3 linked regions of the Caenorhabditis elegans genome follow. The protein of the gene in region 2 purifies or fractionates together with the protein of the main gene of each other region. This does not show direct contact. Each region holds a gene or a part of one and is shown on either strand. Other genes may lie near its edges. The genes, in order: Y102A11A.3, asah-1 and Y62H9A.3.

Region 1 (10,149 bases), on a different chromosome or scaffold from region 2:
TGAAGCATTTTGAGGGGAACGAAACCCATAAATACCGTTTTTGGATGATTTCTCGCCAGTATGGAGCAAAGAAATTTTCGAAAACTTTCCTAAAATGTTTACCTACCCTTAAATATTTTGAAAAACATTGAAAGTTTGCAAAAACACTATTTCAATAAAACCGTACAGGCCTCTAAAGTAGTGGAAAAATTCACGAAAAAAATTCGAGATGGAAATTACGAAAGTTGAGATGAGAGTTTATTTAAAATTATTTCTAATAAAAATGATAATAAAATTAAAATTATTCCTTATACATAAATAAACAGTATTCCTGTAAAAATAGTGAGAAGAGCGATTGAAGACTAAATCAAGTTGGTTAGAAAAGTCATAAACGACTCTTCATGCACAACACACACGCACACAGGCACACATAAAAACTGATAACAGATCGGTGCCACACAAAATGTAAGCGATCGCCTTAAAGTACTGGGTGAAATGAAAATTTGCGAGACTCAGAAAGAGAAAATTGATAAGGTTCGAAACTTGGGAAGACAGTTTAGGCACTGTTTAAACACTTCATTGAGATGTGGGTGGTAAATTGATAATAAAATAGGTGATTCACATTTACAGACGCTTGGAAAATACACCACTGAAAAATCAAACAAAAGTGAGAAGTTTAAATGTTTATTCCAAAAATAGAATGGGAAATTTTATTTATCAAAAAATCAATGAATATCTAGGGTTTTTAATTGTCTCATTTTTCATTTGCTTCCGGAGAGTTGGATATATATTTTGATGCATTTTCAATGATTTCCGAATTTAATAATGAATCGCTGAAATTATTAAATTAATAAAAAATATTTGAAAAAAAGACTATACTTTTCTGCCGGGGACATGAATGCAAGTGCAGCAACACACGCGGTTGTGAAGAAATATGAGACTTCTTCTAATACCTATAAAATCATTAAATTAATATACATAGTACATTGCCGACCATCGAATAATCTCTTCGCTATCGGTTTTGCTTGAGCTGTTAAAATATGTGTAACTACTATAATAGTTCGCAAAATACGTTTGCTAACAAAATGGTGCTAATTACTTGGACTACATATATTTGTGATTACGTCCGAATCACTTAACTGGTAATCTACATACAGTTTACACGGTGACCGGGAAAAGTTGTACAAAAATTGAACATAAGCCTCAAATTTCAGCTCTTATAGAATTTGAACAAAAGAAGAAAAAACCTTAAAACCAAAAACGAATAGAATTTTGGCCCCTACTGTCTCATGGCTTTGGAACTTACGTACCGAAGAAGTGTTCTGCTGTTCCGAAGAGTTCAAACTAATGTCGGTAGGGGAAGTCTCCGAAGGTGGTGTTGAGTTTGTCGGAACGAATACTTCTGCACAAATGCTAGAATCGCTGGATTCGGGTGTCAAATCAATAATGTTTTGACAAGTTTCCAAATTGGATCTTGATAAATTATTTCTAAACGGCTCGCGATCTGCATTAGTTTCTGAAAGAAGTATAATAGGAAACCTTTTAAAACGCTACAAGCTACCCAAATGTGTATTTTCTCTTAACACGTCACACATCTTTTCTTCGAAAACTTCATTCAAAGAAACTCTGAAAAAAAATTTTATTCAGATTTTCAAGATCAAAGTAAAATTACCTGTTTTCTGAGGAACTGGACTGAAGTTCAGATATTGGTTTGTGTGAAGTTGATTGGCTCAAATCCTCCAGTTTTGGCGACAAGAATAACTTTGGGATATCTGGGAAAGAATCGAAATGCTCACATACTGCTGTTTCAATTGAATCGGGAAAATGTGCGGGTACCAGACACGCTTCGAGAACTGCATCGGAGACTAGATCATGCATCATTCTATTCAAAAATTGTTTAACCACAGCTTTGTCGGTATCTAGCGTAGTGCAACATCTCTCAACATTCCTTAATTTTTCATATCTTAATCATACCACAGTTATATCAAAAACTACCTTGATTGATCGCAAAATGAAGTATCGGTACAATCTTCGACGTTTTCTTTTTCCGTGACTGCTGATGCTGTTTTATCAGCAATATACTCGGTATAAAATGTATCCTCAATGATTTTACAAGACTGATTTCTGGCGAGGGGTATCATTCTGTGACAGATCAGCTTGGAAGCTTCTTGGACAGCAGCTTGAATTTGATCAGACAAAAGATGATCAACCAATGAGGCGAGATTATTTTGCATTTCCGAAATTTTGATGCAACTTGAATCAGGCAACGGAACTTCGAAGTTGGCATAGAATAGATCCATTTCAGCAATTTCACTTTTGTATTCCGAGTTGGAATCTTTTATAATGTTTATACCACTTTCGTTTTCATTGAGATTTTTTGCCATTTTTCTGAAAATATCTTTTTTTGAGGAATATGGAAATACTGGAAATACCCCGTAGCCTAGAAAAATCAAAAACTCGGGCAATTATTTATCTATGATTTTTTACGGTACATATTTTTGAAACTTAACGAGAATAGTCTTGGAAAGGGTGTCCTTTGATTCTACCGTGAGTTATGAGGGTGGCTGAGTTTTCTCATTTCACGGCAACTTAGTAAAAACCGCTTTGTGGTTTTTTTCGCATGATTAAATTTACAATATATTGTAGCATAGTTTTTTCCCCAATAATTATACCGCGTACCTCGTACTGTCTGGATTTTCCTTGAGCATTGTATCAGTTTCGCAATACTTTCTCTCACATGCATCCTCGAAATGATGATCGAGTTTGTCAATGTCCTCGGATTGCTCAGTTGATTTTGAACTCGTTTCAGTGCTGCCTATGTTGTTCGTTTGTCCGCAGGCTTCTTGTATGTTGTCCAGATTGAAAACTACCAATTGTTGATCATATTCTAACTGATTTTCCGCATTTTCGAAATTATCTGCTGTGCTGATTTCTAGCAGGCACGCCATTGAATTGGGATCTTGCTCTGATCTTTCTAACTTGACTTCTTCTAGACCTTGATTTTCGGAAGAATGCTCACACGTTTGAGAGCGCCGGTCTTGAATTTTTTCCTTGAAACTTCGTGGTTCGAGAACATCCATTGAATTGGACATACCACACTTTGCTAAAGATTTACTATTTTCAAACGTTTTTGTCGCTTTCTTGTTGTCACCCTCAGAATCTCCAGTGGCCTCTTTTCTTTCCGGCAATTCTGATGCTATTAATTCATGTTCTATGTTAAAGTCAAGACTGATTGTGTTTTGTGGAAAATCTTCAGTCGGCCCAGCATCACTTGAGTTTTCGGACAAACCGTGTAGCCAATTCAAAAAGTGGTTCAGCCCAACTTCAATGTCCCAGGTTTCTTCTATACTCAGCGGAACACAAGATTGCAAATCGTTATCGTTCGTATTTGAAGTGGAAAAGCTGGATGTAACCGATATACTGTCCTCTGCATCATTTGTTTGTTCTTGTCGTTCCAGAAAGTTGATTTGATCTTGCAAAAAATGGTGGACGTCCTTATTGATAAAAATTTTTGAGTGTTGAGTTTGGCTTCTCCCACTTCTCATTGTAACATTATTTAAATTATTCAGAAGAACATTTTCGTCTCCAATTCGATTTTCATCGACTTTCCTAGAGATAATTGGTGGAAGAGCCTGAAAGGTAACATGACAAAGCATATCTGGGACAACAGTGATAACAATATCATCAACAACGAGTTCTGAGTAACTTGATGCTTTGCTCAAAATGTTGTTTGAAATTTCAACAATTTCCAAATTGTTATTTATTGAGCTGAGCACATGGTTTTGGATGTTTTCGTGATAACAACTATCAATGACATTGATGGTTAACGAGTTCTCTTGTAAAAATTCCGTGTTGATTAAAACCTTTGAATTGACCGTCTTTAGAGTAGTATCCATACTGATAGAAAGGGAACACTGAACTTCATCGAATACAGATACGGATGGTGTGGCTTCTTCAGGTGTGAACGTTTCAGTATCGCTTTGGTCTTCTATTTCCGGCAACACATCTACAGTAATCTCAATTGGTACTTGCAGAAGTTCAACCACGTCGAAGATTTCTTGAGAAGTTGCAGAGTTCAATGTTGCATTAGAATCAGTATTGTTGGATACTTCGACCAGGATGCTCTCCAAAACAGAAGCAACTTCAATATGGTTTTTCAAGTGAACAAGTTTTCCGCTATATTCAGCTTGTTTATCGATGCAATGTTGTTTGCTCTTTCCCAATTCTGGTGAAATATCAAAAACTGTTTCGGGAGTGATAGCGTTTGAATGTGCACAATGCTCTTTCTGTGACGTATCCTCACAATCAACATCACATGTTATTTCCTTCCAGTTGCTAGTAAACGGTGTGACGTCAGAGTTTTCAGAAAGATTAATGTTTGAAGGTGCAGTGGATCTAGAAGTGCTTTCCATGATCTGAACTTGAACAATTTCCTCTCCATTCAATTTTGGCCGATCTTCAGCGATGTCTTCGATCGGTTCAAATGTGATGTTCATATTTGATTGGTCTGATAAAATTTCAGAAGTTGATGTGTCTACTTGAAATTCAAAATCGGTTTCTGGTTGCGTATTCGAATTGAGTAAAACCGGTGGAAGATTTTCTTCTTGGAGATTTGGAGCATACTCAGAACAAACACTGTCTTCTGAAAAGAAACAACTAACATCTGGAGTTTTTGGTATTCCCGGTTGGTTGATTTCAAGCTCAGACGTTAATGTACGAAAAAAATGATTTCCAGTAGACTCTTGATCGGCGGCTTTCTCTCTACTGTAGTCTTCACCATTTGCTGACAATTTTTCAAAAACTTTCTCTTTTTCAGTAGCCGAGGGTTTAACAGTTTCATTCAACAAAGTAGAACTTTTCCATTTATCAACTGACGTTTTTCGTGGAGCCAATCTTCTCAGCATCAGTCGAGGATCTAGAACTTATATTATTTTATTTCAAAAAATTGTTTTTCAAACCTTCTTCTATCTGGTCAGCTTTCGAAGCATATGTCAGCAACTGTAGATCCAGACTGACGAGCTCGGAAGTTTTCGCTTTAAAAAACAAATTACCAAACATTTATGAATTTTGACCCAGGACTTATTGCACCGCTCATATTATAAAAAATGGTTATAAGCCAGACCATGTGGTGTCAGAGTCTTCCATTACGGGCTGATCTACAAAAAATTGCGGGAGTATTTTTTGCCCGAAAAATGTGACGTCAGTTGAGCAATCTGCGTCTGTTCTCCCGCATTTTTTTGTAGATCTACATAGATCAGGCCGAAAAGAGGCAATCTGACACCACGTGCAAGACATTTATTACCTTGTGAGGCTTCTTCTCTGTGTGACTGTTGAAATTCTCGAGACACGGACATTACCATTTGAACGTAATCTTGAATCATATTCACAAGTACACTGCCGTTTTCAGGTGTGTCAGGAGAACTTGTCTCAGAATCTTCATTGTCAGATTCTTGTTGCGGGAAAGAAGTACTACTTTGATTTTGATCAGTTTCATGAGGAAGATAAGCACTGGACGGTTCTGGTACTGATTGTAAAGAATAATCAAAATTAGCCTCGTCTTCTTGTTTTTCCGATTCCATTTTCACATTTGGTGGGAGAATAGGCTGTTTTGAAAATAGTGATGGAAGTTGAAATGTGGGCAGCTGCACCCAGGAAATGTTTTCATCTGATTTTTCAAGCACAGCTGAATGAAAATGTGGTTGTTCAGAAATTGTTTGATCCTGGAGATGACAAACATTTCTTTCTTCAGATCTACTGTGTCTGTCTTTTGAAAATTCAATTTGTCTCTTCACAATTCCCACAATCCTGTTCACTTTATCATCGGATATGGAACAATTGTCTTCAATTGAATCATCATCACCCAACTCTTCAAAAACCGATCCCGTCTCCTCCAAAACGCTCGCGAATTCTTCCATTACTGCAAAATCTTCATCTACCACGTCACTCAGACTTTCAGCGTCTTCAAATCCAACATGCTCTTCTGAAAAGTCGTCGACACAGGCAAAACACAAATGTTGGTCGATAATGTGGAAGTTGTTTTGATCATCTGGAGGTTGAGACAACTGTAGACATTCTTGATCTAGAAAATTTGAGTATTTAGTTGTTTTTTGAATGTTTTTATTTTGGTTTACAAAATTGTTTTACAATTAGTGCTGGTCATAAAGGCATGCAACTTCACAGCACATTCTTGCAAGAGCTTTTGTGCATATCTTTATCACCAGCAATGTATATTTTAACTCACTTGTGGAAAATGTTTTTGAGCTTCCCAGATGAGCATCACACATCTTATTGCGTAATTTTGATGGGCTCACGTTGTCCGATGGCTCTAGAAACAATTATTTTAAAAAATGCTCAAAAAATTGAATTGACGAACGTTTTACAAGATGAAAGCAGTGAGTGAGAGGTAACACTCGACAAGTCTCCGGCTGAGTGAGTACGTGTTCTTCTGCATAATACGTTTTTGTTGCAACCGTTTTTGTTTCAGACGGTATTGCAAAAAGATTAATGCCGTAGTCTGACGTATTTCCCAACTCATAAACCAGAGTTTTGCCGTCCCGTGTGCGATAATGAATTGAGTGTCTAATTGGGTCACAATTGTTTTCTGAAACAATTTTCATTACATTTCTGGTTTTATTTTCCAACTTACTTGGTTTCATTTTTTCCGAATATTGTTTGTCACCAAAAATAATTCTTCTCAATTCAGCCAAATAGTTGAAATATTCGTCACACTGGCGAGAAGTATACACATAGTTTAGTTTCGTACAAAATTCGGATTGATGATATCTAACTCTACTCTGAAATGTGTATACATTGTATAAATTTAAAGTATTAGAAAAAATATAAATATACCTTGATGTGTTGGTCACAGTCAGAATTCATGTGCTCAACATTCAAGTTATCATCTGGAAAATTAGAATAAATGTGATCTGATTTTTTTTGTATTTTTAAATTCGATAGAATTTGATTTGGTCTATAGATATAGTTTAATAAGTATCTCAAAATGTTCGCAATAAATGAAATTCCATAATGTGAATAACTATTCCTATTTTATTATTAAGTTTATAAAAAGTTTTTCTACAAGGATGAGTATGTGCTCAAATTAACAAATTTCGTGATAAAACTTCGCAAAAAATTGAACTATTATTCTTTTTGCATTTATAAATAATTTATAAACAAAACATTTATAAACATTTATAAATAACGAAATGATGTGACCTAAAATTAACCAATTGTTTTCGAAATGTTGGACCGCCATAAATAATTTTGAAATGTTTTAAAGAAGTTTAATTTTATTCGAAATTTGTTCATTTGAACCCATTTTGGGCTTATTCGTTTATTATATCTAAAACCGATACTCCTCTTTTAAGCCTAAAATAAAAAATTCACGTTTTATTTTTGATAAACTACAAAATAAAATTGAAGTACAGCTACTACAATCGAATCATATTAAATTAGTATTCCACAAAAACAAAGCAAATAATGTTAATTTGCAGTCGAGTGCTCAAGAAACAGAAAAAAAACGAAATGTAATGCTCGCCGATACCAATGAAAAACTTGCATTATCAGCAGTTACAACTGCTGCTCTATGCCTTTTTCCAGTGATGTATGACTTGATGATAAAAGTGGTTTGGAATGTATACATTTCATCAGAACTGTGAAAAAAGGAGCATCGAGTAGATTGACAGATGGAGAACAAAATGTAAAACACCGTGTAATGCCAAAAATGCGCTCACTTGGCAGGAATCGTAAAAAATATTAGGGAGGAATAAGTTCCGGGTCGTCACTTTTTTTGTAGTTTTCTTCGCAATTTAATATGTAAGGAAATAGTGCACAATTTTTTTGAAAAGTTGTTACGGTGGACTTTGATAATTTCAGCACAATAGAAGCAGTTTTGAACAGTTTCCCCAGTGGTGGCGACACTCCACTTATAGAGGTTAAATTTTGCCAGGTAACATGTTAAAACAATAAAAAACTTTATTTAAAAAATTTTAAAAAAATTTATTTAGAAGTTTCAGAAGGATTTAATTTTCGAATATGTAGTATAAACTAAATTGTACAGTTTTCAACACAAAGATTTTCACACTCAATTGGGATTGCACAGCAGAATCAAATTAATTGGAAGAAAATAGAAAAAGGGCTGACCAGTGTTCAAAATTATCACATCAGGGGAAAAAAATCAGACAGGTTGTATACTAATAGATAGATTGACAGGAAAGAGTGGGAAGTAATAAAAGTAGTCTGTTATGATTGAGTGATCATACGCAATCGCTCACAATGAGCACCAGCAATTTCTGCTAATGCACCAGCAAGGTGTACATGATCGAATTCAGAAAGATTCGATAAAACACTTCTTTCAGAAAACTCGTGCAACGTGCCGTTCTCGTCATTGTCAATATCGGTCATGTCGAGTCGAGGTATACTGAAACGACGTGTGTCATTAAAAGTGCAGTAGAGTCGTTTTGGAATTTTGCTTTAAATGACAGAAAATAAACACTAATAACCTAATGTAACTGTTAAATATTTTTTTAATTGTTTAATTCTTCTAAACGATATTTTATGGGTTTTTGTCTTTTTAGTCTTCTTAACGAAAAAATGCGAAAGAAAAAAAAGAAAAAAAAAACTCAAAAATACGCGGGAATTCAAATTTAATTCTGCCGGTTTCCGCCAAAATAAAATAAAAAATTATGGTCTATTTTCTCTGATTTAAAGCAAAATTTCAAAACGACTCTACTTCACCTTTGAACAAAAACAAACAATATCAAAATGTTCACTTTAATGGTGGAAGGCTCTCATAGTCCGGCTGAATTTTTAAATGTCCAACACGTTGCTCCAAATCACCCAAATGTTCTTGCAGTTTCTCATTGTTCATTCTGAAAATTTTGGTAATGGAGGAGTAGTTCTGGAATATTTTGAACGTATACACTCAACATGTGCTCAAATGAACGAATTTCAAATTAAAACTTAAAATTAAAACAATTGGTTAAAGTTTTTTCAGGCGCTTCAAAGTTTTGAAAAAATATCAAATCTTTTTTATCTTTCAGTTTTTTTGTATCGCAGCGAATCAAAGATTTTTTTTTGAGTTCTCATCCATTTTCGCATACATATTTCCGTCGTTTATCTCACGTTATTTCGTTAGTTAATGAACATTTGAAGGCAGCGAATGGTGACAGTCTGTCCTATCGCTCCACCGCACACAAAAGAGCTGGAAAATATATTCGAATTTTTGTGACGTCACAGTGCATCTCGAATAATTTTAAACGTGAAATCCATGACTGATTGCTAAACTTTTCGATTTTTTTAAAATAACCACTTCACAAATTAACACAAAAATTAGTTGGAAAAAATGGAAAGTTTCCCAAAAATCGACTTGAAATTCGCTGTGTCGTCACAAAAATTAAAAATATTTTACCACCATTTTGTGTGCGGTGGAGCAATGAGACAGCCTGACACCACGTGAGCCGGTGCCAAAAATTACCAAAATTGGTTACATATTCAATAATGATGTGAGACCAATTTTCGATTTTTCGAACCACTATTAAAATAAATGTTAACAAAAACTTTGAGAAGTTTCATCACAAAATTTGTTGGCTTGAGCACATTTTGGGCCTATACGTTCAAAATTCCCAAAACCGACACTCTTACTTTAAACATTTCTCGTTCTCACTTACTTCAACGCATCAATTTCTCCGTAAGCCTCAATCAACTCTTGCGATAGTCCTTCAATTTTCTGCTCGTTTTTCTTTCTGATCTCTGACAAATCTTCACGTTCTTTCTGCAGTGAATCGAGAACAGTGCTGATTTGGACGGTTTTTTCGACAACTGAAGAAGAAATACTTTAGATTGTTGATTTTGGAATAATTTTGATCATGAAACTGTTCGAAACGAAACAGTAATCATTTGGTTTAAAAAATACTTTTCAATACTTTTCAAAATCATACCTGCTTTCGAGTTTTCACTTTGCTTGATAAATTCTTCACCTTTCTTTTTATTTTTCTCGAGCATTGAAGCATAGTTATTCTTGACCTCTTTAAGTTTCAGTTTCAACTTTGCGTTTTGCTCTGCGTACTTTTTCGCCAACCTGAAATCAGAGAAACGTTTTTGTTGATTTCGAACAATGACCATACTCATTTCTTTCCTTAGATGCTGTTTTCACTCTGCTTTTGTCCAGCT
Region 2 (6,777 bases):
AAAACTGGCAATTTCCGCCAGAAAATTGAATTGAATAATTTGAAAATTGAATTGAAATAAAAAAAATTTGTGTAAAAATACTGGAAAATCAGTTTAAATTCATTTTTCTAGTAGAAAATTCCACAAAACCACCAATCGCTACGAGACTCAGAAGAAATATTTAGGCATGCGCCTTTAAATCTACCGTATCCCATTTTTAATAAAATTGTGACGAAATTTGAATTTCAGGAGGAAAACTTGGTTAGAAACGAAAAAACGACGAAAAACCATAAAATTAGCAAACAATTATTTTTTAAATGTAAAATTCCACAAAAAGCAATAACTTTGGTAACCTCGATAAGTTTCGGTGCATGCGCCTTTAAATCTACCGTAACTCATTATTTTTTTCCAGCGGGAAAATTAAAATTTTTAATTTTTGTTTAAAAAAAACCAAAAAACTCTAAAATTTTTAAATTTTATGAAAATTTCGTTTTCAAACAAGAACCCATCAAAGTTTATTTACAAAAATGAAAGTTTATTTCAATGAATCATTGCGTATATGAGAATGTTGAATCCAATCTACCATGGATAGCATTCTCCCGGGCAGGATTGAAGGATGGTCTCGAAGCGAGAAGTCTCGACGGACATGAGGACGGTGTAGGTGGTGAGCTTATTCAGGTTGGTGCGGGATGACAAGACGTTGAAGATTCCCTCGAATCCGACGTTCTTCTGGGTCAACTTGTCCATGCAACGGAATCCCGGAGTGTCACGGTCGTCAAGGTAGAGGTCCTGGAAGAGGGAAATGTTGGATAAGTTAATTCCGGATAGGTTTTGACAGATTTTTGATCAAAATTTCTAGCTAGGAGTTCGACCCACTCAAAAAAAGAAGCTGGGTTCAAAATACTAGACCTAGGCCTAGAGAAGGACCTCTCCTAAAAGTTGGGCCCCTAGATCCGTCTACCAGAACCTACTCTACACCTTCAACTCTAGCATCTCTCACCTCGGTTCCCTGATCGTAGTTGGTCTCCAACAGGTACCATCCGTGTGGGGATGTGGCCATCTCGGTGAGAAGTGCGGTCTTGTCGAGACTTCTAGCGATGATGCATCCCTCGTCCTTCTTGGATCCTCCGAGAATGAAGTAGACTGGTGAGAGCATTGGAGTGTTCATCAAGTGCTCCTTGGCGTCGAGGTAGGCTGAAAGCTCGGGATATAGAGCCTTTATGGATCTCAGACGGATCTAGCCCAATGGATATTAGAAGCAAAGATTAGGGACACTTGAATCTAAGCCTAAGCTTCCTGGAAATCAAAGCTTCCGAATTCTAAGGATCTAAGTCATCAAGAAAACAATTCAACTCACTGGTCTTAGTCTCGAGGGTCTCTCTTGCCAACCAGGACATCCATTTTCCGTCGGCCTCCAATCCGAACACCCACTTGAGAATACCGTAGTATCCTCCGACAAGCTGGAATCGATCGTCAGCAGTCAAGGAGAAGGCGTTTGGCTTGAGACCGTTGTAGATTCCAATGTATCCGGCAAAGTTGTTCGACTTGTACAACAGCTTTCCGTCCTTGAGCCAGTTGACGTTGATGATCATCTTACGAAGCTTTTGCGAGATTTGCCAGTCGTGAAGAACTGGGTCCCATCCCATGAAGAGTCCGAAATCGAGGTTTCTGGCGTGGAAAACGTGGCCGTCCTTGTCCTGAGCGATGACCGATGTGCAAACGGTGAAGATCTCGTAGAAGATGTTATACATGGTGATCTGTCCCAATGGGATACCGGTGGCATTGGCAATACTGAAGATCTCGTCACGATATGGCTGAGCGAGCTTTGGCGCCAAATCACCGAACACGTCATCAACAAAGTCGATGGCATTTGGGAACCATGGAGTGATCAGATTGATCAGCACACCGATCAGGTCGGCGATGTGTTCCTTGTTGGCTGTAGCGATCTGCACCCAACGCTCCGATGGTGGGAGATCAAGGTTCACATCGTACCTGAAAATATTTTTTGTTTGTGGAAGTGTGTATTTGGAATTTCGCTTCAATCAGCAATCAAAGTATGGTGTGACCTCTGCACAAAAACTGATAAGGTTTATGGAATTCCTCGAGGAGAAGATTGATGTTTTATTTATGATTGATTGTGTCAGGGGGTAACTACACTAAATTATCAACTGATTGTAGAACACAGGAATCTACATTTTTAAACGATTTGCTAGTTTCTTGAAAATTTCGCAAAAAATTTTTTTTTTTGGAAGCCGAGAAGTCAAAAGTTAAAAAAAAGGGACTCTGAGTCTAAAATGAGTTTAAAAAACTTCCTATAAAATATATTTTTCACAAAGTATAGGTAATATCTGTGCCGGAAAAGTTAAATTACCGACATTTTGGCGTCTTCTTGTAGTTTAAAAGTTTCAAAAAAGTAAGATAGGTCCTAAACTAGAATGTTTGAAGCTCTAAAAGTGTTCGAACCATGCAATAATCAGTAAAGCTCGGATTAAGCACATTTTCATAACGTAGAATGCCTGAAAAATGCTCTTTTGAGTATCAGAAGCACAATATCGGCGAAACTCAGAAATTCAGACTGCCAACAAAGTTCTCAGAATATCTATTAGTTCTTAGGCGAATTCTAAAAAAGCTTAGGCAATGAAATCGAGAATTTCTTTAGAACAGCAGTGTATTTAGAATTTGGCACCTAAAAAAATGACCAAGGAACACCACTGGCTTCAAACTATGAAAATCTGACATTTTGGAAGTTTTATGCGCAAAAAGTTCAACAAATGGGGCAAACTATAGATAGTTAAGGTAGCTACCATCCAGCCAAAAACTCACCACTTGATATCAAATTGCTTGCTTGGATCATAGAGATTCTGCTTATCATCCAAGATGCAGTGATCCTTAAACGGAGCCGGAAGCTCCACATGCTTTGCGGCGCACACAGCCACCAGCAACAAAACCGACAATTCTCGGAGCATCTTTCTTGACTAGCTCTGAATAGTGGCAAAGCGTGTGCTCCGCGAGGCGACTTATCAATACTTTTTGCGGAAAACACGTGGCCACACTTTACTCCTTATCACTTTTTAATTTATTTCCCTCATGAAAATGTCATCAATCACACCGGTTTTTGGTTTATGGAGCATAATTTACAAGCGTTTTCAGAGAAGAATTCATTAAAAGTTATAGTCTAGTCTAGGTGAAATTCGTTGATCGGTGGAGTGGGGTTCGTGCCCAGCACAAAGGGGGCGTGGCCTGTTTTGATGACAATCTGCGTATTATGCTCTGTGCATGCAACGTCCAAAATGTTCTCCTCGCCGAATTTCTCTTCCTCTGGGTCGATGAGTACCGGGTAGACTTCAGTGGAGCCCTAAGGAGTCACGATTCATCTTTGAACTTTCAGCAAAAAGTTTACCTTATCTTTTCCGAGTTGTCCATACCGATTCCATCCCCATGTGTATGCATCACCGCCTTCTGTCAGTGCTACCGTATGCCAACCGCCACAAGCCACCTTTTTAATGCGAATTCCCACGAGTTGCTCGATATGGACGGGCTCGTCGACTCGGCGGATCAGACCAACTCCAAGCTCCCCGCGACTGGAAATTTGGAAATTTATGTAAATATTTTCCAGTCTAGGCCTGTGAAAACTCACGTTCCGGTACCCATAGAGAAGAGGTTGCCGGTTGTATCCCGGAAGATCAGAAAGTCGTGACCAGCAGCAGCTTCCACAATTCTCACAGGCCATGGAAATTGGATCTTATTTGCTAAATTGTTCTTTTTCGGTGAAATTCCGACAGAATCAACCAGGATCTTCACAATTTCCGAACTTGTTCCAGATCTTTCGACAGCGTATATCTCACGGGATGTAGCTACCAGCAAAACATCTAAATCAGTATGCAGGTCCAGGAATGTCAGGTTTCCCTCAAAGTCGTCAAGTCTTCTCACAGCCAACTTTTCGTGCTTCATGAGAATCGCCATGTGGAGATGGGTACACGCCACGTGTTTAACTTCATCGGGTAGCTGGATGGTTTCAGATGCTAATGACGTCATCGGGGCATCGAAGATCAGTGTGATCTTGCAGGAATCCACAGAGATCGAGCCAAACCAGGTGGGAATCTGGAATAATCAATTTAGCAATTTTAAATTTTTTGCAAAAAACAATGATAGACACTTCTACAGTACTTTCTTCATTAACTACAGTGCGTTTTTTTCCATTTCTACGACTTTAAAAGGGGCGCATTTACGCGCGATGGTCCCGGCATTGATCTCGCCACGCACCCCAAAAATCAATGGGTGGCGCGTGTCGAACCATCGCGCGTAAATGCGCCCCCTTTAAAGTCGTAGAAACTGAAAAAAAATGCGCTGTATGTTTCCACCTTGTGTCAGAGTGCCCATTACTGTGTGATCTACAATAAATGCGGGAATTTCGATGCGGACCTCTCAACAAATTTCGTATTGTTAAGAGCGTCCCGCATTTATTGTAGATCAAATAGGCATGGGACACTCTGGCACCAAGCTCGGACCTGCTGTGAAACGCCTGTAGTTTGGAATACAGCGTGGCTACGTGCCTGTAGTCTTAGTTTTTTGAGTTACTTGCCAGTTCCACTAATATTGCTTGTGGCAGACCAAACGCGAATCACCTGTCACCAGATCTGGATCAGGACCTTTACAGGGCCGTTGGTGGCCAACCTTCAATAATTCTTGTTTTTATAAGAACCCGTACACCATTTTATTGTTAGGAGCATGTGTTTAGACTAAATTGTCGAAAAATGAAAGGTAGGCCCCAAAAATTTTATGACCAAAAAACTCAGATCTAGGTGAAACATCACAAACTACTAGGGATCAGGTAGAAGTTTTTCAGCGATACACGTGGCACTTCCTTCGCTGAACTCCCTTCATTACACTCCTCGCGGAAACAATAGCCCCCCACCTTTGAAAGTGAAACATCATAGACCGATGACGTCATCATTGTGGCTTCTTCCTCTTCATCATTTCGTCACCTCACTCGATTATTATTCTCTCTTTTCGTTAAAGTGTCCAATTGTTATTCATTGAAAAGTACAGTACTCCTTCTCCCCCGAACCTTTAAGAAGACATATGACCGGATGTTGACAACAATGTGTGGAACAAGTCCTTCTAGGTGAAAAATGCAGAAAGTGCAGCACACGCAGAGTAAAGATTATTGGGGATAATTGGTAATTGAGTCGGACTTTTGGAATTAGATGAATTGTAGCTTGAGAATTTCCAAGATGATTCAGGTTTTTCTAGGAAACGTCATTGTGGTCTGGTGACGTCCCCGAAGCATGAATTCGTCTGATTCAGCTGATTCACAAATTGTCTCAACAATGACGTTATCAATTTCCAATCGAATCATGATGTAGTGCAAACAATTACGAAAAGTTTGTAGGAGGACACAATAAATCCACATGTATTGGAGGAAAACGACCCTTGAACTTTCTTTTTCACAGTTATTTTGAAAAACAACTGTGAACGTCGTCCGGGCAGCAAGTGTTTTTGATGAATCTATCATTTTTAGAATTCTCAAAAAATAAAATTGCAAAAGCCATTTCCAGCAACATTCTTCGAATTCCTCCAACTTCCTGTCCTACATTTTTGTTTCCTTCCGCTTTTCCCATGAGAAGCTGTGTCTCCGCGGAACATATCAGCTGACGACAGCTGTTGTGTAAGGAAATAGTTTTCTGTTGAAGAATGAATTCAGGCGACGTCAAGCAATAAGAGAACAAACATCGGAAGAGAAGGAAACGTCTATAAAAGTCATCGGGTCAAATAGTTCAGTGGATGTTCGGCTGCATTTCTACTTGATATAGCTAGCTTTTTGTGCGTTTTCAGACAATTATCTTGTATTAAAGTCCAAATTGGCCTGAAAGTACCAAAAAGGCTTGGTTTTGTTCTGCTAGCTGTTTTGGGACTATTTTAAGTTTCTTGGTCTTTGGCGGTAACTTCTGAACCAAGTTTGGTCTAAAAAACTTGTTTGATCTATAATTTGACAAATCATGGCCCGAACCTTGGTTTGGCTTTGTTTAGGCAGCGCGCAAGTTTGGTCCAAGTTTAGTCCTATTTTTGCCAATTTCTTATACAAGCTTCAGTTAAAGATTGGTTCCGGCTTACTAGCTTGGGCGCGACCTAAACACAGTCTTTCCCAAGTCTCGCAAAAGTTAGGGTCAAGTTTGCCATATATTCAACCAAATCGGCTTTAATTCTGGCAAAATAACGTTCACTTTTTGAAATTTTATTTTGAAGACTGAACTTTCTTTCTTTTTTCCGGCCTTTCTCAAACTGGATCATAAAATCTGCACTTTGTAACTTCAAATGAGAGATAGTTATCAAAATAGGTTACTTAATCCACGTGATAAGCTTCTAGACCGATTGCAATGACGTGTTGGTCTTTTATTCCGATCAGTTGTTTTTGTATTTATCGTAATGTAGATTATGCAAATCAATTCCCTGTTTAGTGAGTATAAATATGACCACTCCATGGGGAGAAAATGGCTTTCTGCAGTTTTGTGAAAAGTCACGTGGCTTATACCATAAATCAGTTGCAATGCGAACCCGGCGATCTTCTGATACCATCCTCCATCTTCCGCGCCAGTTCTTTGAAAATCTCTTTTCTTCTTCAATTCGGTTGGATTCGAAAATATCTCTTTCCCCGAATTCGTCGCGGACAGCTGGTCTCTTGTCAACGATAGATGGACTATCACACGCGTTCACAGATCAGCAAGGATTTGTGATTGGAATGGAGGCCGTGAACGTCTAGAGGTTGTAGTCTGGCTTCTAGTGACTGTTATCATAATC
Region 3 (5,153 bases), on a different chromosome or scaffold from region 2:
CGCACACTTAGTGACTTTTGTCTGTAATTAATCAGTTTAAAGTTTCAAAACTTTTTAAAACTTACTCCACACTCAGAGTTTGCACTTGTCTCTGCCATTTCAGTGAAAGAAAATTGAAATGACTTCTGTAAGTCATGAGCATCCGTCTCTCTTGTCTTTAGTTCTTTTTCCTTCTCTTCTAACATATTTTCGAGGATTTTCGTTTTGTGATAACCACCGTTTGCCATATCAAGAGCTGACATTGTTTTTCCTATAATGCTATCTTCATCCAAATTTCGAATTTCACATAACAGAGCAAGAGTCCGACGTTTGTCGATACTGGGTGGTGAAGAATCAACAATTTCAAACATTTCTTCACGGCGAGTGTAGATTTGAGCAGATTCTAAAAAATGCGAATTAGTTTCAAAATAGATTTGACAATTTTAATATCAGTCAGAAATATATTCTTCATTTATAAACTCACGTTTTAGAGCATAAACAAGGTCCGTTTTGGAACTTCCTCTGCATAAAATATGATCAAGAGACTTTACTCTCTCAATAGTCAATTCACACTCTGCTCGCAACGCTGTCCATTTTTTGGCTTCCCTCTTATCGTACGAAAAATTGTTTTTGAAATCAGAATTCTTATTAACTATTTTTGAGACACTCATTCGTGTATCTTCCATCAGTGAAGGTTTATTATCACTCTTTTGTTGGCCCTGAGTAAGCCGAGGGACTGATGAGTTTTCAAGGAGTGCAGGAAGATTATTCATGATCGCCTGAAAATATTCTTACGGTTCCTTGTTTTCAATCAATTGATCAACTAGGTAGTTTTGTTGAAAAACCGTTGCCAACATCTACTGAAGCCAGCGGGGGATTACTCACACCCAGGAAACAAAATAAATTGTATTTTTTATGAACTTATGTTAGTAGAAAACCGATACTACCGGAAAGACATCTATTTTGAAGGATGAGATTAGTTACAACGGGACACTTTCATAATCGGAAGGGTTGGTTTAACTGAAAGCAAATTTGCAAACAAATAAACATTATGACAACTAATAATTGAAAACAGAAAATGAAGCCCATTGTTGAAAATGAGATTGTTGAAATAAATTATTCATGAAGCTAGAAATTCAAAAATGAAAATTTTCGTTTTTTTTACTGGGAGATTATATCAACAGAAATTGAAAATTGAGTGGGGAAACGGTGGAAAATAGTATATAGAAAATGAATATTTCCATCTTGAGAATTTATAGCTCTGTCCTCCCGGCTCCCTATATTTAATGTGAAAAATGATTGTTTTTAGGAGATTGTTCCATTTTTCTGTAAATGTAATATAAAATTGACACATGGAGAATACCGTATATTATTGAAAAATCTGGGTGAATTTCCTGAAACTTTCTTATTTGTTTTCTGACGGAACGGAATTGATGAAATTATTTGATTCCTTTAGTTGATCATAATATCAATAAGCGCCTTGAAGTTAAAAGAATCTTAGTGAAAAGAGTCTGTCTGTTTTTGAAAAGCAACTCCATTATAAGTATAAACAGATGCGCTTTTATTGTTTGGCTTAGGAATGTACTTTTAAGTAGTTTCAAAAATTAAACGCCGGGTATTTGAGAAACGATTAGCGTTTCATTAACTTTTCCGTTTGTGTTCAAAACTAATTGGTTTTCTTTGAAAGCTCAAATTAACATTTATTTTTCTTCATAATGTATTGTTTAAACTGATAAAGTTTAATGTTGAATGTACGACATAGTATTTCCGTGAAGGCATCCAACTCGACGGAACCTGTGTTTCTTATCATTGGTCAAATCTTTTCCTTCCCATTTGCCTTTAGTTCCATATTTGGCTAAGTAGTCAACGTTGATACCTCCTGTCAACGCTACTGTTCCAGGAACATTAAATGGTAGAATTTCTTTCTTCGAGTCCACCAAAATCCATGTGTATGCTCCTGGAGTTGGATTTCTGGGGCATGAAATGACGGCGTAATGGGTGTTATCATATGTGTAGTATCTAAATTTGAATGTATAATTCTTCTTGCAACTTGGATTTGCTCACCTAACACGGGCTTCAACAATTTTTTCACCACGAAGATCTTTCAATTTTTTGACTTCTGATTGTTTAAACTTTTAAAATGAGAATACAGTTGAGAACTCACCATAGTTGCGTGGTGGATACGATCCCCCATTTTCTGAGTCAGGATATGGTCCTGGGGGGAACGGAGCTGGATATTCTTGTGGAATTGGAACTAGTCGTGAAGCTGGCGGAAGCGGCCAACTATTAGGGAAATTTGGAACTGGGTATGATGCTGGTGGAAGTGGTCCTAGATCCGGCACCGAGTACGTTGGTTTCTTTGTTGGTCTTGGGTAGTCTTCAACTTCAACTTCACCTGAGTAGGACTTCTCGTTCTGTAATCATTAATATAAATATACTTTAAATTGCAATAGTATGTCACAATCTGGTATTCTGCAGAAGCCACAGCAGCAAGTAATACAAGCGAAACAAAATATTTCATCTTGGCAGAGCACCGATGTATGGCTCTCCTCTGTTGAGGACCGTTTTATATTTGGTCTAGATTTCGCATGAATCATATGTTTAGAAAACGTATGATGTGATGTGATCCATATTCCAGATTAAACTTTGTCGACGATTCAACAAAATCGTCTATAAAATCAAGTAGAGGTGACGCACAATTCAGCGAAATTGTTCACTATGTATGCTCTCTTTTTATCTGTGATCGCATGTGCGGTCGTCGTATCTGCGAACCAATACAATGATTATGGTACAATTTCTCACTATCCTGGACATCATTCAAACAATCGATACTCTACTTCTGACTCATCGGATTCTTCTGAGAATGAATTAAAATCAAGATCGAACTCAGATGAGCGTTACCCAGAATATCCAGGTGTATATGCGCCACAACCACCTGCAACGAACTACGGTACCAATGGAAACGAGTATAGACCACCAAACAATGTATATGAACAAAATGAGTATGAACAATGCAAGGAAATCAAACACTTTTCTGTTCATAAGCACAGAACCGCTCGTGCTGACATCAAGTGAGTTATCACAAAAAATACCATAAGTTAGCTTTTTTTCGAATATTTTTGCAAAATGAAACTAACTGATCAACGTTGGAAAAAGTTTTAGAGAAAATAAGACGTTTTAAACATAAAACCCGACAAAATAGAAACATTCACATATTTCGTTCTCAATACTCGTTATAGAAAAAATATACATATTGCATTTACTTTTTCGTTCAATTGTTTCGTGATGTGAGAGCAAAACTAAAGTTTTCGCAAAGTTTGTATAATTAATTATATCACGGGCTAATTTTGTTCTGTTTCATTTTGACTATAAATTATTTTCCAATGGTTCAAAAAGTTGTTTTTTTACAGAACAGTAGAGCGTAAGGGGAAGACCTACAACATTATCGCCTGTCCAAACAGTGGAAAACCATATGCCCTTGTAGCAAAAAAGGAAGGAACAGACGCATCTTTCAAGTTTGAGACAGAATTCGTCATTCAAGACACTATTCTCCTTGCATCGGGATATAATTTCGACTACGTTGCGAAATGCGACGACAAAAAGTGAGCCGTATTAAGTCAACTTGTTGTTTTTATATTCAAAGTCTAAATTTCAGTTTTGTTGGAAAATCATTCAACGACAGAGAAGTAGCAATCCGAAAAGTCACATGCGTTGAACTTCCCGGACCAAGACCATTGACAGGATTTTAATGATTCTGTTTATTTAAATGTTTTACGAGTTTTTGGTTGATAAAGTTTAAAGTCAAATTTGTTACAGAATGTGAAACAAAAAAAAAGTTCAAATTTGGATAATTATGTAAAGAAAATACTTTAACTAAATTTCAATGAGACAATGAAATTCATTCTATGATCATCCAAATATGGAAGAAAAGTAGTGCGATAATTCTTTTCGCATTCGTTAGATTAAAAAGGGTTTTACTTGTACTTTATTGAATGTAAGACAGTTTTTTTTTTCATCCGCTCCTTTAGAACAATTTACTGAATGCACTCTAAAAGTCCTATTGTTTTTTTCACGAGGAAGTGAACTCATCAAATTTGCAAATGTTAGTTTTCCGCAGTTTTTCCATGGAACCAAGTTATGATATTTCTGTTGACTGGACTCCTCTCATAATTGAGGTACCGTTGTACTACATATAAAAGATTTGTTGGCAAATATCAAAAAGCCAACAAATTGCGTGAAATGAGTAGCTTGGTGTGTGTGCAACATAGTGCGAAGAGGTGGTTGTTTGCAAGCGGTCGACACGTTCGGAGGTCCGCGCCTCACTATAAATGCGGCGTGGGTGACGCCGTGAGGCCGTCGCGGCGACCGCATGGGAGCCCTAGTTTATAGAAAAATTTGTAGGACGCGCTTAAGTTTTTAGTTTAAATGAGAAATTTAGAAACTTATAATAAAAAATTATGAATCAACAAACTGCCTAAAATGTATGGCAGTTGCGGTTTTATCGTCAATTTGTCAATTTTCTGGGAATTTTCAGTTTCGGTCATTTAAAATTTTCTTTGCCGCCCACTACTCGAACACATTTTCCTAACAATACAAAAAAAGCTGGAAAAGACAAATATGTTGAATTGTTTATTTTGCTTAACTTAGCTGTCTTTGGTGTTGATTTTTCAATCAAACTCTTTTCGGTGAAATTATCTCACATTCATTCTACACAGGCTCTCGTTGAAGAATTCATTTATTTTTAATGATAAAATAGTATAAAAACTCAATTAAACAGTCAATGATGTTTCAAAAGTACCATGATGACATCCAACACGACGGAACTTTTGCTTGTCACTGTTTGTCATATCGCGGCCGGACCATTTTCCGTGGCGAGAGTATTTAGCAACATATCTCACATTGAGTCCGGCGGCAAGAGCAACAGTTCCATCAATACCAAATGATGGAATTTTTTCATCAGAGTCGGCAAGGATCCATGTGTATTTCTTGTTGTCTGATTGTCGTGGGCAGCTAATTTCTGCATAATAATCTCCTCTATGCTTGTAGTATCTGCAATAGTTATTTAATGAACTGCATATGTTTAGTGATCTACCTGATTCTGGCATCAACGACATTGGTTTTGTGCAAGTCTTTCAGCTTACGGAAATCTTTAAAAAGATACTTATAAAATGCAA

What was found.
Region 1: the proteins of asah-1 (region 2) and Y102A11A.3 fractionate together in Caenorhabditis elegans (co-fractionation; one large-scale study listed by BioGRID). This does not show direct contact.
Region 3: the proteins of asah-1 (region 2) and Y62H9A.3 fractionate together in Caenorhabditis elegans (co-fractionation; one large-scale study listed by BioGRID). This does not show direct contact.

Annotation. Positions count from the first base shown.
Region 1 is NC_003284.9:2,015,880-2,026,028, reverse strand, and holds Y102A11A.3 (Protein unc-13 homolog A), read right to left. Parts: upstream 6,882-10,149; 5' UTR 6,859-6,881; coding exon 6,829-6,858; intron 6,774-6,828; coding exon 6,626-6,773; intron 6,581-6,625; coding exon 6,353-6,580; intron 6,305-6,352; coding exon 6,221-6,304; intron 6,059-6,220; coding exon 5,282-6,058; intron 5,013-5,281; coding exon 4,938-5,012; intron 4,895-4,937; coding exon 2,659-4,894; intron 2,368-2,658; coding exon 1,975-2,367; intron 1,928-1,974; coding exon 1,652-1,927; intron 1,606-1,651; coding exon 1,541-1,605; intron 1,496-1,540; coding exon 1,290-1,495; intron 933-1,289; coding exon 859-932; intron 813-858; coding exon 734-812; 3' UTR 653-733; downstream 1-652. Other genes in the region: Y102A11A.9 (Lebercilin domain-containing protein), read right to left, coding at 8,221-8,398, 8,751-8,849, 9,648-9,798, 9,918-10,057, 10,104-10,149.
Region 2 is NC_003279.8:12,501,293-12,508,069, reverse strand, and holds asah-1 (Acid ceramidase subunit beta), read right to left. Parts: upstream 2,957-6,777; 5' UTR 2,946-2,956; coding exon 2,803-2,945; intron 1,972-2,802; coding exon 1,337-1,971; intron 1,174-1,336; coding exon 980-1,173; intron 769-979; coding exon 559-768; 3' UTR 501-558; downstream 1-500. Other genes in the region: K11D2.1 (RCC1 domain-containing protein 1), read right to left, coding at 3,155-3,334, 3,380-3,560, 3,617-4,080.
Region 3 is NC_003284.9:11,877,445-11,882,597, forward strand, and holds Y62H9A.3 (putative secreted effector protein), read right to left. Parts: upstream 2,528-5,153; 5' UTR 2,501-2,527; coding exon 2,441-2,500; intron 2,394-2,440; coding exon 2,144-2,393; intron 2,099-2,143; coding exon 2,044-2,098; intron 1,999-2,043; coding exon 1,719-1,998; 3' UTR 1,666-1,718; downstream 1-1,665. Other genes in the region: Y62H9A.2 (uncharacterized protein), read right to left, coding at 1-21, 66-382, 464-752; Y62H9A.4 (DUF4362 domain-containing protein), read left to right, coding at 2,698-3,050, 3,390-3,581, 3,635-3,728; stha-3 (Conserved secreted protein), read right to left, coding at 4,749-5,028, 5,072-5,126.